Linked DNA regions of Mus musculus. The protein of the gene in region 1 binds, or shares a complex with, the protein of each later gene. Links are inferred from orthologs where the notes say so. Each region holds a gene or a part of one and is shown on either strand. Other genes may lie near its edges.

Region 1 (5,013 bases):
GCATAATTCAACAAGCTGTTTTTGCAGGGGTACAGTCTTTAAAAGCAAACTATACAGAAAATGAAGCAAAGTAAAAAGTTGTGCTTACAACAGCCACTAAGTGACTATCACAGCCTTACCACGGAACATCATTGAGGCCAGCACGACGGCTCAGTGGGTAGCGCCGCTGGGCCACTAAGCCTCAAGACCTAAATTCAATCCCTGGAATCCACATGATGTGGGAGAACCAATTTCCACCTACTGTCCTTGGACCTCCCCACATCCACGCCATAGCATGCACATGTGCATGCATGCATACGCAATAAATAAATGTAATAAAATACTTTTAAAAGCATCATTACGGATATTTTAAATATTATTTAGAGATGGGAGTTTAGTTCAGTGATGGAACATATACTTGGTATGTGTGAAGACATAGGTTCAATTCTCAGAACTACAAAAGTAAAAATAAGTAAAAATGCTATCCAAAGGGAATAAATGAAAATTACTTATGTAAATATAATATTTTATATCCCTGCCATGGTTTGTTATGACTTTCAGCTATCACTACCTTGTTATTTTTGTTTTGGGGGACAGTTGGAGCTGCCATGGAACACTGAGAGTAGAACCTGGGTCCTCTGCATGAGCTGCCTGTTTCGAAAAACAAAAAGAAAAAAAAAAAAAAGAAAAGAAAAAAGAGTCTATTCTCTTACCTGCTGAGCCGTAACTCTCCAGTTCCTATGCCCACCGCTCAAATCTCCCCACTTAGGTATTACAAACAGCAGTGCACAGAAGGCCAGAGACAGAACTGGATTTATCCCTGTGAGAGTAGTTCTAAGTCTGAACACGTTCCCAGTTGGGTAACTGCAGAGCAATCGAATGCTAAGGTAGAGCACAGAGGCAGGAAACCACTGGAACATAAGGTAACTGGCCTCATCTTCTGGACCAGTGAACATCCCTGGGAGGGAGCCACTGAAACAGCACTCATTTAAGGGCTGTCTGTATACTGCAATGTCACTCTAACGGCAAGGGCTTGTGCTGGATACAGCTCTACCCATCTTGTAATCCAGTCATTAGAGGATATATTGAAAAGGGATTCTTCCATAAGCAGTCTGTGGGCTCAGTGTTCAATGTTCTTTCTACCAGCAATAGCTAGAGTGCCATGTTAAATACAGAACTCACAGAAATAGGAACTGGAAGAATGTGACAAGGCAGAGTGTGACTCAGCGCAACATAACTACCCATGTCACACACACACACACACACACACACACAAACTCTCTCTCTCCTCTCTCTCTCTCTCTCTGGTTTTGCTGATGTTGGCTAGTTGGTTGTTTTTTTTTGTGTGTGTGTGACAGGGTTTCTCTGTGTAGCCCTGGCTGTTCTGGAAATCACTCTGTAGACCAGGCTGGCCTTGAACTCACAGGTCTTCTTGCCTCTGCCTTCTGAGTGTTAAGATTAAAGGTGTGTGCCACCACCACGACTTAAAATGAGAGATGCCCATAAGAAGTCATAAAGCACAAGCAGATGACAGGTATAGTATGCCAGAGTTAGTCCTAACGTGGAGTCCCGATTTCGGCGTTGTCGGACTGTAGCCTGTTTGCTTTCTACAGAGGAGTACAGTTCAAGGAAGCACAGAAGTTCACTGCTGTGGTCTAACAATGATCTCTAGGGAGCTTTCGAAAACATATGCATGGGTTTAGCGTGCTGAGACTTAAACTTCTGGGGCTTTCAGACAAATCAACGTTTCTTTCTACTCTAGATCATTTTTGTCTATAGATCTGTTTTGTGGCCAAAGACAATAAAGGACTTACCAATAAACATATGAATAGACTCTTTTTTCTTTTCTTTTTTTTTTTTTTTTTCCTTTTTGTTTTTCGAAACAGGGTTTCTCTGTATAGTCCTGGCTGTCCTGGAACTCACTTTGTAGACCAGGCTGGCCTTGAACTCAGAAATCCGCCTGCCTCTGCCTCCCAAGTGCTGGGATTAAAGGCGATGAATAGACTCTTAATATCATTATCCAATAAAAAGCCTCAACAAGAGATTGGAGTGCAGCTCACTGTGAGTGTATTTTTCCAGCATAATTTACGTCCAGAAATCTGACACCCATTTCTTGCCTCCTCAGGCACTCATGTGGTATAGATGCATGCAGGCAAAACACCCATACACATACATGATAAATGAAAATGTTAAGTATTTGTCACAAGAACAAAGTCAAGGAGCAACTATACCTCAGGCAACCTCAGAAATTACTTGACCGCTTTACCTTACCATCAAAAACAAAAAAACTAAAAAACTTTATTTCAAAGTGAAACGGACTTTTCTAACAGCCACTGAGTCATACTTTACCTGGGAATGTACTTATTCATGACGGCATAGAAGCAGTTGTATAGGTCGCTGCGAGGCAGCTGGAGACAGATCAATGGTTTCAGTAGATGAATCCAGCTCAGGGATGTGCTGTATTTAACGCTGCGTGATTTACAGTAAAAAGTAATTACAGATTCAATATCCAGGAGTAATTCTGCTGCCTTCTCCTCTGGCACTGAGAGCTGCTCTAGAATAAAGCATCAAACTAAAGTTATCAGGGAACTACAGGGCTTAGCGACTGGGCACACTACATCACACGCTCATCATGTGAGTGTATTAAACTATGAAAAAACAGAAACACTGAGCAATCTGTCTCGTGATTGTCTGCTTCATATTTATTTTTTGTAGTAGTGAGACCAGATCATGGCTTTACATATGCTAGGTAAAGGTTTCCCCACTGAGCTATGTCTAGCCCGTCTCCTATTTAACAGACATTGGCTCACATGCGCAAAGCATAAGAAAAAACGTAAACAATGTCCTTTGTAACATTTTAGTTTTCATTTTAAAGCTGCCATCGTGTATATTCATTGTACACGGCACTGTGTTACATGAGGACGTCATCATACAGTGAAATACTGCATGCTGAATATAGTCTCCCAATCTTCGTTTTAACTTAAAGCAAGACAGATATTACAAAACAACTATCAGTTTCGTGTATGTGTTTTCTTACCTAGCCCTGAGAGAAAGGGAAGACAGAAGACAGTTACTAACAAATGGTACTCAGTAATATTGACCATATGTATGCTAAACACAGGAGTGGCCAGTGTGAAGCAGGGCAGGAGGGAGTGACAGGCATAGCTCAAGCTGCTGGAAAGCCAAAGGATGCTTCCGAAGGAGACTGCCAATTGCTCCACCATGTGCAGCTTTGGCAAGCAGAAGGGTAATTCATTCTCTACCATTAAATCCAGTATTTTATTCCTTCCCTTTGTTCATTTTAAATCTTAGTTTTTATCTTATAATAATGCTAATCATACATCCACATGCAAAACTAACTCTGACTTTTCATACTGATAGCTCTCATACAGAATAAACAGATAAACTACAAACTAAATATGAATACAACTATATCATCATTATTTAGATGAAGGTGATCTCAGAAATATAGGATACATATCATGTAAAGTCTTCAAATTTCTGGTCCAAATTTCCTTTCTTTTGTCCATACTAGTAATAAAGTCTGTCAGTCTGTCTGCCTGACAGTCAATAGAGCTGGTGATAGAACTTGCATACATATATTCCAGGCAAGCGCGCCACCACTGAGCTACATTCTAGAAACTGCAGCTTCTGAACAGTCAGTGCCCAGAAGCCATTTAACCAATGCATTAGCTAACTAAGACGTAACAGAAAATCAAAGAGGCCAAGATATTATAAATGAATTAGAGAGACAGGTATAAATTGAATTAGCTTAACCTGTACCATCAATTATCACAGATTTTGTAGGGTGGTTAGAAAACTATTCATCTATGATTTGTAACAACTGAAAACAGTAGCTCATGACCTGTTATTTATAAATAAACATTCAGAACACAAGCTCTTCTAATTGAAGGCTGCAAATAATCACGTGAACCTACAATTCTGAGAAACAAGGTAAAGAGGATAACAAAACTATAAATGTGTAAGAAAAATCAATATTATAAAATAAACAGTAAAACCTGGCTCTTTCTCAAAATTATGTATCTCAAGATTTTGTTTATTAAAGGGCAGAACTATTTACAAGACATTTACAAATTTAAGATATCCCAAATTATAACATTTTTCACGGTTATCAAACTTACCGATAAACTCAAGGCAATCTTTATGAATAGTGTTCTGCTCAGGCAAGTCTAAAATACCATCCCATGATGCCAAACTATCACCTTTCCCTGCAACGTTCAGAGCAATCTGGAAGAAAAAAAGTATTAAAATATTAGAAATATTAAAAATATGCTGTTAAGGAAGGCAAGACTTTAGGAATAATAACAAAAGACTACAAGCTAAGTATCCACACATCATCAAGTGTCCCCACCACCATGTAACAAAAGGCTCCTTTATCAGACTTTCCTATTTCATGTTGATTCAGTGGGGAGAATTAATTACAAAATATTTGTGTACTTACAAACATGGCTTTATTTAAAGCCAACTTTTCTGAAATGTAAAAACTAAACATATGATACTGTCAAATAAAAATATACCTATACCATGTACAATTTTAAAAACATAAAGAATATTTAATGAACTGAGAAAATGTTATTTTGTAAATTTTTTCAAGTACGTGTAAAAGCTATTTTATGTATTCCCTTACTTACTCATTCGTTTGTTTGTTTGTTCGTTTGTTTGTTGTTTCAGACAGTGTCTCTCTGGGTAGCCCTGGCTATCACAGAGCTTACTGTGTGGAGTCGGAAGCAGTGCTTGGAGGAATCTTGCAGCTCTGACTAGCAATCGGGTTACTCCTTTACTTACTCCGTTTCCCAGAACCAAGACAGAGTAATGGTTACCCAAGCAGCACACATTATATCATTGTGACTCAGGACATGTGTTCCATTTTTCATTACTTGTGGATTACACGTGCAGCCACAATTAAAAAACACAAATACAACAGATTTTAATTTTATTATTAGCCCTATAACTCCAATTCAAAGAATCTAAAGAATGTCTCTGCCAAAGCAAACATATCCATTATATGACAGC
Region 2 (5,013 bases), on another chromosome or scaffold:
TCTGCTTTTCCTTTTTTTATGCTAACAACATTTACTATGCTTCTACTACATTAAAACTGAAGGACAGGCAACGTGAGCGTGTGCTTCACTCCTCATTGGACACTCACACTGCTCACAGGAATGTAACACAGCTGGCTGCTTTCAGGACCTGTTCTAATCTTAAAGACATTTGCACAGCAGCAAATGACTTTATATCTTATCTTTACTGAAACCTCGTTACACCCACAGCATACCACTCACCGGTGAAAGGTTTCCCATCATTAAGAATGCAGTCAGAGTGGAGTCAAACAGGAATGCAATTCGCTTTGTGTACCCAGTGGACAGACTCAAACTGCTCACACTGGCCGTGTCAGCTGAAAGAAAAAAATGAAATATGGAATCAAGTCAATGAAAGCCTTCTTTGCTTATCTTCTGAACTAAGTTTTTGCTTCAGCTTTATCTGAACAGCCAAACAAACTTAATTAAATATAACCAATACCATAGTCTTAAGATATTCAAGTATTTTGCATCAGGGTCTCACTATGTAGCAAGGACTGGCCTTGAATTCCAATCCTCCTGCATCTAGCTCCCTGGTACAAAGATTACAGATATGTACCATTTCTTTCTTTCTTTTTTTTTTTTTTAAGACATTTAGATTTGTGTTCTTGCGCTAGTTTGTCAAATCAAACTGATACAAGCCAGGATCACTGAAGAAGGGAGAATCTCAATTGAGAAAATATCTCTGAGACACTAGCCTGAAGGCACATAAGTGGGGCATTTTCTTGACTACTGATTGATGTGGGAGGGCCCAGCTCTGTGCAGATGGTCCTGGGAAGTATGAGAAAGAGCTGGAGCCTGGGGAGCAAACCAGTGAGCAGCACTCCTCAGGGGCCTTTGCCTGAACTCCTGCTTGTTTCTGTCTTGGCTTCCCTTCACAACGGGCTGTGAGCTGGAAGCTCAAATAAACCCTTTTCCTCCTCAAGTTGCTTTTGGTCTTGGTGTTTTATCAGAGCAAGAGAAAAGCCTACAAGCACAGTTAATTTCCTTGAAAACCATAAACAAACATCCTTGGTAATCATCAGCTCAATAAGCACTACCAACAGGCTTATGTTCCTGAGTGTGTGGCCCAGGTGACAGGCAGAACAGGAGAAAGGCCAGCCCAGGCTCCGAGTACCCTCAGCGTCTCCCTTTGGCCTTAGCTGGCACTCTCTCTCTGGCTAACATGGCCTTTCCTGTGTGACCAGTGAATTCACAGCCGCTCTAACCACATCCTATTCCTGAAGGCAAAGGTTGGGACTTTGTTTATTTTTGCAGCCCCAGACACTACGACTATTTATGTTGGGGGGCTATACTCCATCCCTTCCTCCCTCAACTTAACTTCCTGACAGTAAATGCCACGTTCTTATTTGTCCTATACCTTCGGTGTTCACAACACTGGTAAGGACTCAGACTGCACACCACATAGGAAGCCAAAAGCAGAGCTATAAAGGAGATGCAGGGCTGTGTCTGGACATAGGGCGCACCGACAGACAGACTGTAAAGCACACTGAGGTGAGCGGCTGCTGACCTGGATCCTCTTGACTATTTGTGTCTGTGTCAGTAGCAGAAGAGGCTTCTTGCACGGGACTCCTACTCTCCCCGCCATCCCACGATAAGAGCATCTTTTGTGGGTCTAATGTGCTCCTATTAATGAAAAATACATTCATGTTTTTAAAAGCACATAAATGATCTCACGTGAACACAGCTACTGAAGTTGGTACTTGCAACTGTGAACAATCCACCCGAACATAAGCCAATGCACACATCTGAGACTGAGACGAGTTCTCAATCTGCTCTGGCCATAAAGAGCACTGTGACTAAAACCCAGGCACACGTTCTTCTCATTTCTTAAGTTTATAAAATAGTGTATGCGCTTTTTTCCTAAACAACGAGTTCTTGCTCTCCATCAGATTATACAGAAGATCCATCATACCCAGATGACTGAGGCACTAGTATACAGGATTCACCTCAATTGGCAGAGTAAATTAATAAAAATAAAAACAAAAACAAAAAAACCTTTCTGCATGTAAAAATTCTTTTCAAAAGGAAACTGTCATAAAGGACAAATGAATTACTTTAGTCTATTCACAGATGGAACATTCTTCCATGACGAATGAAGTTGATCCAAATTTATCACTTGTCCCTTCTTATGGGCAAAGCCCAATCGGCAATACATTGAAACAGCATTCTGAAAGGAACAGAAGGAAAATTAGCATTAAAACAGACATCAGATTATTTGAAGGAAAAAATTACCTTCCAAAACTAAGCCTCTGGTGATGTGCCAGAGTTCCTCCTGTACCGTGCCCACAGAACAGTCTGAGCCAGGACTGCGGTCCCTAGATCCTCTACTAAGGAGGCTGGAGTTACAGCTTTAACAAGATACTGACCAGGCTGCTTCTCGGTGCCCACATTCATGTGAGTGCTCTATTTCATCCCACCTGGTGGAAAACAGACTAAGGGCTTCCACCTTGCCCTTTCTCGCTCTGCAACCATCCCTCTACCATGCAGACTCCCTCAAGCAGCCAATAAGAATCAGTAAGTAATGTATCAAGATGAAAATCAACTAGCAAAATCCACCCAGTACTCACATTACAACGGGTTAAAAAAAAAAAAAACAAAAACAAAAACATACCTTCACCAGCGATAAGTCTATCTCAAGGACATTTGCAAGCTAGAAAACAAAAGTGAAAATTACCGTTCCATCTCAGAATTATCAGTAAGTCCTCTCAAGAATGTTTTTGCCACACTTACCTCTGCAACATTAGTGTGTTCATCTATAGACACAAATATCTTATAGAGTAGGGTTTCAAAATAATCACCTTGTACCCGATTCATTACAAAGCCTTCCAGAGGGGGGACTGAAATAAACAAAACGGACTTTTCTCAGCACTGGGTTTCATAAAACAACAGAGTGTAACTCAAATGCCTGTGCAAAAAGAGAAATCTTTCAGAAATTGAATACAGCTTCTATGCAATTCATCCACTCCATAGCAACCTTTCAGAAGTTCCCACAATTAAGGCCCACACAACATCACCTACACAGAGCTGTCTGAAGGTTCACAAGGAACTCTCAATTACTGAGGCAAAGAGAATACTAGACCGTTCAGCCTTAGTGAAAAGACACGAGCGGGGCTGAGCCTCAGAAGGGTTGAGAGAGCGGTGCTTTTGATGCCTATAGGCCAAGAAAATGTGCAGCAGAAGGAAGACTGACTGTCAGAGAGTTAACAGACGCCTTGGGAACAAGTGGAGGAAGGTTGGCTGCCTCCCCCATCTCTAGTTCACCCTGAGAAGAAACAAGTCCGCAGAGGTCACTAAGGGGCCAAAGGTCAAGACCAGCACACAGCAGCCACTGTGGTAGAGTGTCCATTCATATTCAAGCTCTCTCTCTCTCTCTCTCTCTCTCTCTCTCTCTCTCTGTTTTGTCCAAATGCTTTCATCTGATTTAGCAGCAAACTCTGCCTAGTACAGTAAAGAAGGCGTGTGCTTTTGTTCACATTCTTCCATGTGTACGCATCCCTTCAAAACATCCTGGGAAAGAGCCAGCAAAACAGCACTGGATGGATGGCAAGCCCAACAACCCACACTCAGTCACCCACATGGCAGAGAGAATTAGACTCCTGAAAGGCGCCCTATGACTTCCTTTCACACAAACACAACATGTCCATGGAACATATGCACTCATATACACAAAGGAAAATGTAAAAAAATGAAATCTCACAGAAAAGTGGAGAGCACAGGCCACTACATTTTTTCCAGTAATAAAAACTAAGGGTTCCTTTTTAGAAATGTTTAGCAGGGCTGGAAAGATGGCTCAGCAGTTAAGGGCACTGACTACTACTTCAGAGGTCCTGAGTTCAATTCCCAGCAACGACATGGTGGCTCACAACCATCTGTAATGGGATCTGATGCCCTCTTCTGGTGTGTCTGAAGACAGCAACAGTATATTCACATACATAAAATAAATATATACATCTTTAAAAAAAAAAGAAAAGAAAAAAGAAATGTTTTAGCAATTCCCTACCTAACAAGTTAAAACTTATGCTACAGTACTGCTGTGTCCAAGCATTTCCTGAATGAATACTTGCTAGGTGCTGAACACCTGCCAAATACAATGCATTCACCACTTCATCTTTTAGCCGTACAAGTTGTACAGTATTACAATTATCCCTTCCTTGGTGATACTAAGGTCCTAAGAAGTTAGACATTTCAACATATAATTTATATCTGGATAATAACATGAGAAAACTTACAGAAATATAAAATCAGTTTCTAATGTGTATTAAATTAACATAAAGTATTTAGTAAAATCCAGCTTAAGCTATGGGTCAGAAGCCAGCTGTGCATTTGTCCTTCTAAGACCCTGGCCACTGGGCTGGAGAGATGGCTCAGTGGTTGAGAACATGGTTGTTCTTGCAACTCCAGCTCTAGGTACATATACTGTAGTACATACACGTGTACATGTAAATACATAATAATAAAAACACTTTCTGAAATAAAAGATACTGGTCAGCCAAATACAATAAAAGCATTATTTCATCTCAAATATAAAAACATGTTTCAGACAGACTGCAAATTATTTAGAATTTTGTGTGTATGTATATTATATAATTCTCCAATGAAAATCTTTAAGTACTTTTTAAAGAAATAAAGGAAAATATAGACACTGGAGCAGTAAAACACACATATAGAAAAAAAAGACTGTAAGAGTCAAAAGACCAGGACACCTGCTATGAGACAGGGTCTTCTTTTTGAGAAAAAAAAAAAAAAAAAAGTACAGGAGGGAAAGAGAGGTGATCTTGGGCTACATTAGAACCTCAAAACAAAGAGGTGTTCAAATAGCAGTTAAAACAGACTGAAATGAATAAATCCAATCTAATCCAACTTTTGAGTAAATTTCAAATGAGTTAAGTCAGCTAAGATAAGAATCAGATAAGAATGGGGACTAGAATAAATCTTGCAAATTCCCAAAAGTGAAGAAACCACTACCACAATTTC
Region 3 (5,465 bases), on another chromosome or scaffold:
TCGTCAACCGCTGCGGGGGGAGTGGGCGCCCCTGTCTTTAAGGAGCTCGGCATCGGAATCATCTCTTCTCTATCAGCTCGCACCGCTGCTCTCCGGGCCTCGATTCCTCCATGCATTCATTGTGTTATGTGTCTCAAAGATACTTTTCATACGGATACTGTTGCACACAAGCACAGGAGCACCCGCTCTTAAAAGCAAAAGCACCCGGGGCTCAAGAGCCTGACCCTACGCGCGGCTCCCACGCCTGCCTCCTGGCACCCGGGAGAGGCAGGGGACCCTCAAGTCAGGCCAAACTGTTCCCAATCTGATCCCAAAGCTGAGAGCAAGATTGAGGGCAAGACACCCCATAAAGTCGCTCTGCAGATATTGGTCTGTCATCCAGGCTTGCCGGTGACCCCAGCCTCCGGAGCTGCTGTTCACTGAGTGCGGCAGCTGCAGCCCTGGGGGGCCCTGGGAGACGCCCCCACCCCCCAAGCCAGGGTAGCAACGAGTGGGATGCATGGTTCCAGAGACTGGGAGGCGACCAGAAACCCCAGCTCGAGGAAACGTGGGCATAACCTCAACACAAAGTACTTTTTGGGGGAGTGGGGCTGAGGGGTTGTCTCTAAGTTTAGGAACCTTTCCCACTTGGGCACAACATTGTAGTGCCCAAGTGTAGATGCCTGACCACTCTTTATTGCCCACAGTAAGGCCAGCAAGGCCTAGCGCCCAAGCTTTTTTTATTATTATTTTTTTCTTTTTTCCCTGGCCTGGTTGTTTTTCGGATACTTTTTTTTTTCTCACAGTTTAAAGAAAAAAAATAAAAAAATAAAAAGGTAAGGCCATCTCAGCAGCGCCAGGCGCCTGCAGTGGAGCGTGCCTGGCCTGCAGAGGCAGACTTCTTCCACTTTTCCTCCGCCCCCGCGCAGGACTAGGCTCTGCAAGAGCCACGTTTCCACATTTCTGCCTGCCTGACAATCCTACTAGAAGTTTACAATTGCCTGGACCCCAGTGGTGGTCTTCGGCTCCAGGGCCAAGGTTTTGAAGCCGTTTTTTGGGGCCAGGACGCCTGCCCCAGAGTCTGTACACTCTTAGGAAAAGGGGAAGAAGGCGCCCCGGGAACTGTCCCAGAGAGGGCGGAGCACTCCCATCCCGGGGCAGGGCAATAAGGGAGCTCCCGCTCCCGGAACGTTGCAAGCAATCTCATGAATGTCGCAGGGGGGCACCCGCGAGGAACGGACAGGAAGAGGGCCGGGGGAATGCTAGAGCCCGGGACCACTGCACGGAAGCGGCCTTGGGCAGGGTTGCAGCCTGATCCCGGGATGGAGGGTGCCGGTGAAGAGGAGTGAGGAGGCTGGGGGAGGCAGGCCGTGAGGTCCTCGTGGAGGCCCGCAGCCTCCTGGCAGTGGAGAAGCAGGCCGCACAGGAAAGAGAGGGGTCAGGTCGGGCTGAGCCTCAGTAGGCTCAGGCGACTATATGGGAGCTGTAGACGCTCCTTTGTCGTTGTGGGCTCGGCCTGTTTGGAGCAGGCCTTTTGTGAGGAGAGTTAACCCAAACTCGGAGTTAGAGCCACATGCCGGGCACGCAGGCGCTCTGAGTTAGGGTTAGGGCGCCAGCACCTTTGGGGAGGTCTTAGGAAGTGAGTGGGTAGGGGTCTCTCCCATCCCCGAGCCGGATTGGCGCGTCAGGCGCTTGTGGATCCGAGCTGGGATTGGGGAGGGGTCTCCAGGACGTTTGATTTCGACGCTAGGATTGGGGGGATTCGAGTGCTTTGAGATCCGAGCCAGCCTTGGGGTAGGGGGAGTCAGGCAGTTGGAAAAGGCGAGGTGGTTATTTGGGGAGGGGTCTCCGCGCTTAGGCGGATTGCAAAATCGCGCCGTGAAAAGCCTAAGGCTTTGTCAAGAGAGATTTCTGTGCAAGAGTGGAATCAGCTAGGCCAGACCAAGAGAGAAAGTGAACAAATCAGGACTACAAGGGGGGGTGGGAGACCCTGAGAGGGGGGGTCACAAAGGGGGAGACAATGGCCACCAGGCGTTTAACCGACGCTTTCTTGTTGTTGCGGAATAATTCCATCCAAACCCGGCAGCTGTTAGCCGAGCAAGTGAGTAGTCACACCACCTCCAGCCCTCTGCATTCACGTAGCATTGCTGCGGTGAGTCTTCCTGGCGGCCTCTCCAGACACACACACCGTGTGCACTGCGGCTCTGCCTGTCTGTCTGTCTCTTGTCTGTCTCTCTGTCTAAAAAGAAAAAAAAAAAAGAAAAAAAGAACAACAACAATAACAAGGCGACGACGACTAGGAGTGTGATACAGAAGGAAGTGGAGCACGGCCATGGCTTATGGGGCACTTGCAACCCCCAATGGGGACCACAGTATCAACCCCTGCCCTGCCTTCTCACTTCCTGGGCCTCCTGGTCCTCCTCCCCCACCATCCGTCGGGCAGCCTCGATTTACATATGTTTTAACACGAGGACTTGGAACCTAGGCCTTTCTCCAACCTTCTTTTTGTTTTGTTCTGTTCTGTTTGGCACTCCCCCCCCCCCCCCCTGCAATGGCCTCACTTTGGTTCTGTGGGCCAGGTGGGTGGTTAGCTGACTCAAATCCTTGCAGACCCCCCCCCCCCAGGAAGGAGTGTGTGTGTGTGTGTGTGTGTGTGTGTGTGTGTGTGTGGTCTGCTCAGCTCAGCTCATTTTCTTTCCCACTATTTTTCTTCCAATGGCCCTAGTTCTCGGTGTGGCCATGTACACTAGGAGTAATTGCTTTGCTGCCCCCCCCCCCCGCCCTCCCCCCTCCGAGGACTCATGTTGGTGAGATTGCAAGGTGCTAGGCGCTTCATTTTCCATTTCCCACACAGGAAATTAAGCTTCTCCATTCGAACTTTTTTTTAAAAAAACAAAACAAAACAAAAAAAGGAACCAACATGATGCGGATGTGAAAATTAATCCCCCAAAATAGCACATGGCTTTTGATTTTATTGACCAGAACTTCACTTCGCCTAGCAGTGTAGGGTTTTGTTATTGTTGTTGTTCTTTTTCAAAGCAATGTTCCAGTATGATTGCTGTATTTGGTTTGTTTTTGATGGAGGCTTTGGCTTCCAGAGCCTCAGTTTCCTGCTCTCTCAGATAGGGGGCGGGTCTGAATGGTGCAGCCAGATGAATATTGTTAGCTTTGTAATAATACCTTTAATTGAAAAGGGAAGGTTTGAATGGAAGCAGCCTTGAAACATGGGGGAATGCACGGTCACCCCACGACCTTAGGGGCTGCATTTGAAACATAGTTCGTGAAACGCTGCAGCTTTCCCGCCTTTTAAACAGTTGCCTTTTAATTTTTTCCTTTTATCATTTATGGAAGTGCTAATGAAAAACTAAGCTGTGTATCGTGATTGTCACTGTCTTGCCAGGACAGTTGTCCCTGTTTAGGTCACGGTGGAAAATATGTTTGACCATATTATTCACAGAAAAGGGATTTTTTATTCTGTGCAAGCAGTTTTAAGGATAAAAGGATGCAGGATGTTAACTTCGGTCCCAAGGCATAGAAAACTAGCTCGGAGTGTGTTGGGGCTTTTGTTTACATTTACATTTGAAGGATGTTTTACATTTTTAGACTGAAAGAAATAATATTACATAGAAATAAGTAGGAAACAAATCTTAGCATGGAAATGTGTTCATTCTAATGTGGTTTTTGAAAAGAGTCTCCAGAAATAAACCGGAGAAATAGTGAATGAATATAATCTGTGGGCCTTCAGTTATGTTAAATAAAGGTCTCCTGTTCTTTATGACTTAATTTTATGCTACCTCATGGGGGAAAACAAACAAAACAAAACAGAGCCAAACCCACGCTAAAGCTTCCAGGGTCTCTGTTTAAATTGATGAAAAAGATACTGTTTGGTTTTTAAATTTTAATTCTGTAAAGTTCTAAGTAGCTTTAATCTTTAGATTACCTGAGAGAAAAAATTTGACCCTTAATTCAGAGAGTTTAAAACACAGTATCTTGGACCGGCACCTTTTCAAAAACACGTTGCTGTGTCCAATTACTTTTTAAATATTTTTCTAAATTAGACAATTTGAACATATCTGTTTGTGTATCTATCTATCTATATATGGAATAAAATAATTTAAAATGTTTAAAATAATATGTGGTTTGGAAAAGCAGGCAATGTTAAGAAATATACAGCTATATTTAACAAATTCAGACAGTTTTTTTGAAAGTGATTTATAAGTACAGCTAAAATTCATGTTGAAGTCAAGAACATTAAAAATATTTTCATATGTCACACTACTGAAAATACTGGATGCTTTTATTAGCCGGTGCTTCTGGAATTTTTCTTAGATAACTAAAAAGGACTCAAGTCCGTGGAAATACCTGTGTGTTCAGTTTAGATTGCCTCCCCCCACCAAAAAAAAAAAACAAAAAAACAAAAAACAAAACAAAAAAACCCCAGCTTTTTTTCAGTCCAACAAAAATAGTCTACCTAAATTACAATTTAAAAAACAAAAGTGCATTTTCATATTTCTGCATTTTTCTCTGTGTTTCCGACTGTTAATTTTCAATTTCTTCATAAGGTTTTTCCACAAACTATTTCTGCACACAAAATAATCAAGAATATCAAGATATTAACAGGATAGAGATTACAGTTTTTAATAATTCTTTTGGAAGTCAAAAAAGCATTATAAATATTTTGTAAAAAGAAAAGATATGCTTAAGACAATTTTTGAAAACTACAACATCATGCATACAGTGCTTCTAGCTCAGAACAAATTTGAGAACCACATTTTTGTCTTGCAGATTTCAAAATCATGTAGTAAATCAAAAGTTTATTGATCAGCTTTGAATATGGACAAGATATTAGAAATTGTAATTAGATTTGTTAATTGTACTAGATATCTTGAAATGCTTAATACTAAAGGAGCGCTCACTTTATATATTCTGCTTTCAAAGGTAAAGGGAGCGGGAAAGCTGAGCTCCTGACTGAGCTCCAGAGGTGCAGCTTACCCCAGGGACTTTAGCCACATTACTTTCCTATTTTCTTTTTTCCAGCAGATTTTTCAGCTTGGAAAAATTGCAAATAAAAACTTAAAAGTATAAACTTGTCTTAGTCACCTAAGACAAAAGAGACAATTTGTAGATGCATATTTAAACTTAGATAATTAAAAAGGAAGTAACCAAGCCAGAGAATTTGATTTTTAAAATACATTACCTGGAAATTTAAATTTCTAATTAGAAGACCAAACTGTAGACATTGATTTTGGTGTGTGTGCTGTCTCATGTGTAACCAAATGTAAGTATCTAAAATAATAGATTATTTAAATTTTAATATCAAGCTTTTATGTCCTTATATGAAAACAGTACTACAGAAATGGCTTGCTGGGAGGTTTGTGTATGTGCCTGTCTCACACAACTCAAAACAAACCACAGTGGAAGCCTGAACTTGTAAAAGCATTAAGCCCATATTTTTTAAATAGTAGTTTGAAGAAAAAGCTGTAAGT

Evidence for each region.
Region 2: the proteins of Tbc1d23 (region 1) and Fam91a1 are in contact, whole or in part, in a crystal structure (PDB 8JJ9), measured with the Homo sapiens proteins. The link is inferred for Mus musculus from reciprocal best matches to the Homo sapiens genes TBC1D23 and FAM91A1. Residues at the interface, in NP_001186127.1 of Homo sapiens: Arg533, His534, Val535, Ser536, Ser537, Asp539, Val541, Gly542, Lys543, Pro544, Tyr545, Arg546, Val548, Pro550, Val551, Phe552; in NP_659400.3 of Homo sapiens: Arg49, Glu60, Arg61, Tyr64, Asp84, Ile85, Lys88, Gly89, Leu90, Arg91, Ile92, Thr93, Phe95, Ser96, Ile159, Pro161, Tyr176, Ile177, Thr178, Glu179, Asp181, Ile182, Lys190, Asp194, Ile197, Asp198, Tyr216, Asn217, Lys218, Gly219.
Region 3: the proteins of Tbc1d23 (region 1) and Stx16 are in contact, whole or in part, in a crystal structure (PDB 8QQF), measured with the Homo sapiens proteins. The link is inferred for Mus musculus from reciprocal best matches to the Homo sapiens genes TBC1D23 and STX16. Residues at the interface, in NP_001186127.1 of Homo sapiens: Leu638, Asn639, Ser640, Val641, Val642, Lys643, Ile644, Thr645, Ser646, Lys647, Lys648, Ser661, Ser662, Ala663, Ile666, Thr683, Lys687, Ile690, Met691; in NP_001001433.1 of Homo sapiens: Asp209, Asp210, Asn211, Thr212, Leu213, Tyr214, His215, Arg216, Phe218, Thr219, Glu220.

The regions. Positions count from the first base shown.
Region 1 is NC_000082.6:57,210,043-57,215,055, forward strand, and holds part of Tbc1d23 (TBC1 domain family member 23), read right to left. Parts: intron 4,228-5,013; coding exon 4,122-4,227; intron 2,534-4,121; coding exon 2,329-2,533; intron 1-2,328. UniProt on the Homo sapiens protein: Putative Rab GTPase-activating protein which plays a role in vesicular trafficking. Involved in endosome-to-Golgi trafficking.
Region 2 is NC_000081.6:58,427,855-58,432,867, reverse strand, and holds part of Fam91a1 (protein FAM91A1), read right to left. Parts: intron 2,877-5,013; coding exon 2,770-2,876; intron 2,690-2,769; coding exon 2,651-2,689; intron 2,207-2,650; coding exon 2,094-2,206; intron 1,663-2,093; coding exon 1,547-1,662; intron 354-1,546; coding exon 241-353; intron 1-240. UniProt on the Homo sapiens protein: As component of the WDR11 complex acts together with TBC1D23 to facilitate the golgin-mediated capture of vesicles generated using AP-1.
Region 3 is NC_000068.7:174,075,059-174,080,523, forward strand, and holds the start of Stx16 (syntaxin-16), read left to right. Parts: upstream 1-1,992; 5' UTR 1,993-1,999; coding exon 2,000-2,131; intron 2,132-5,465. UniProt on the Homo sapiens protein: SNARE involved in vesicular transport from the late endosomes to the trans-Golgi network.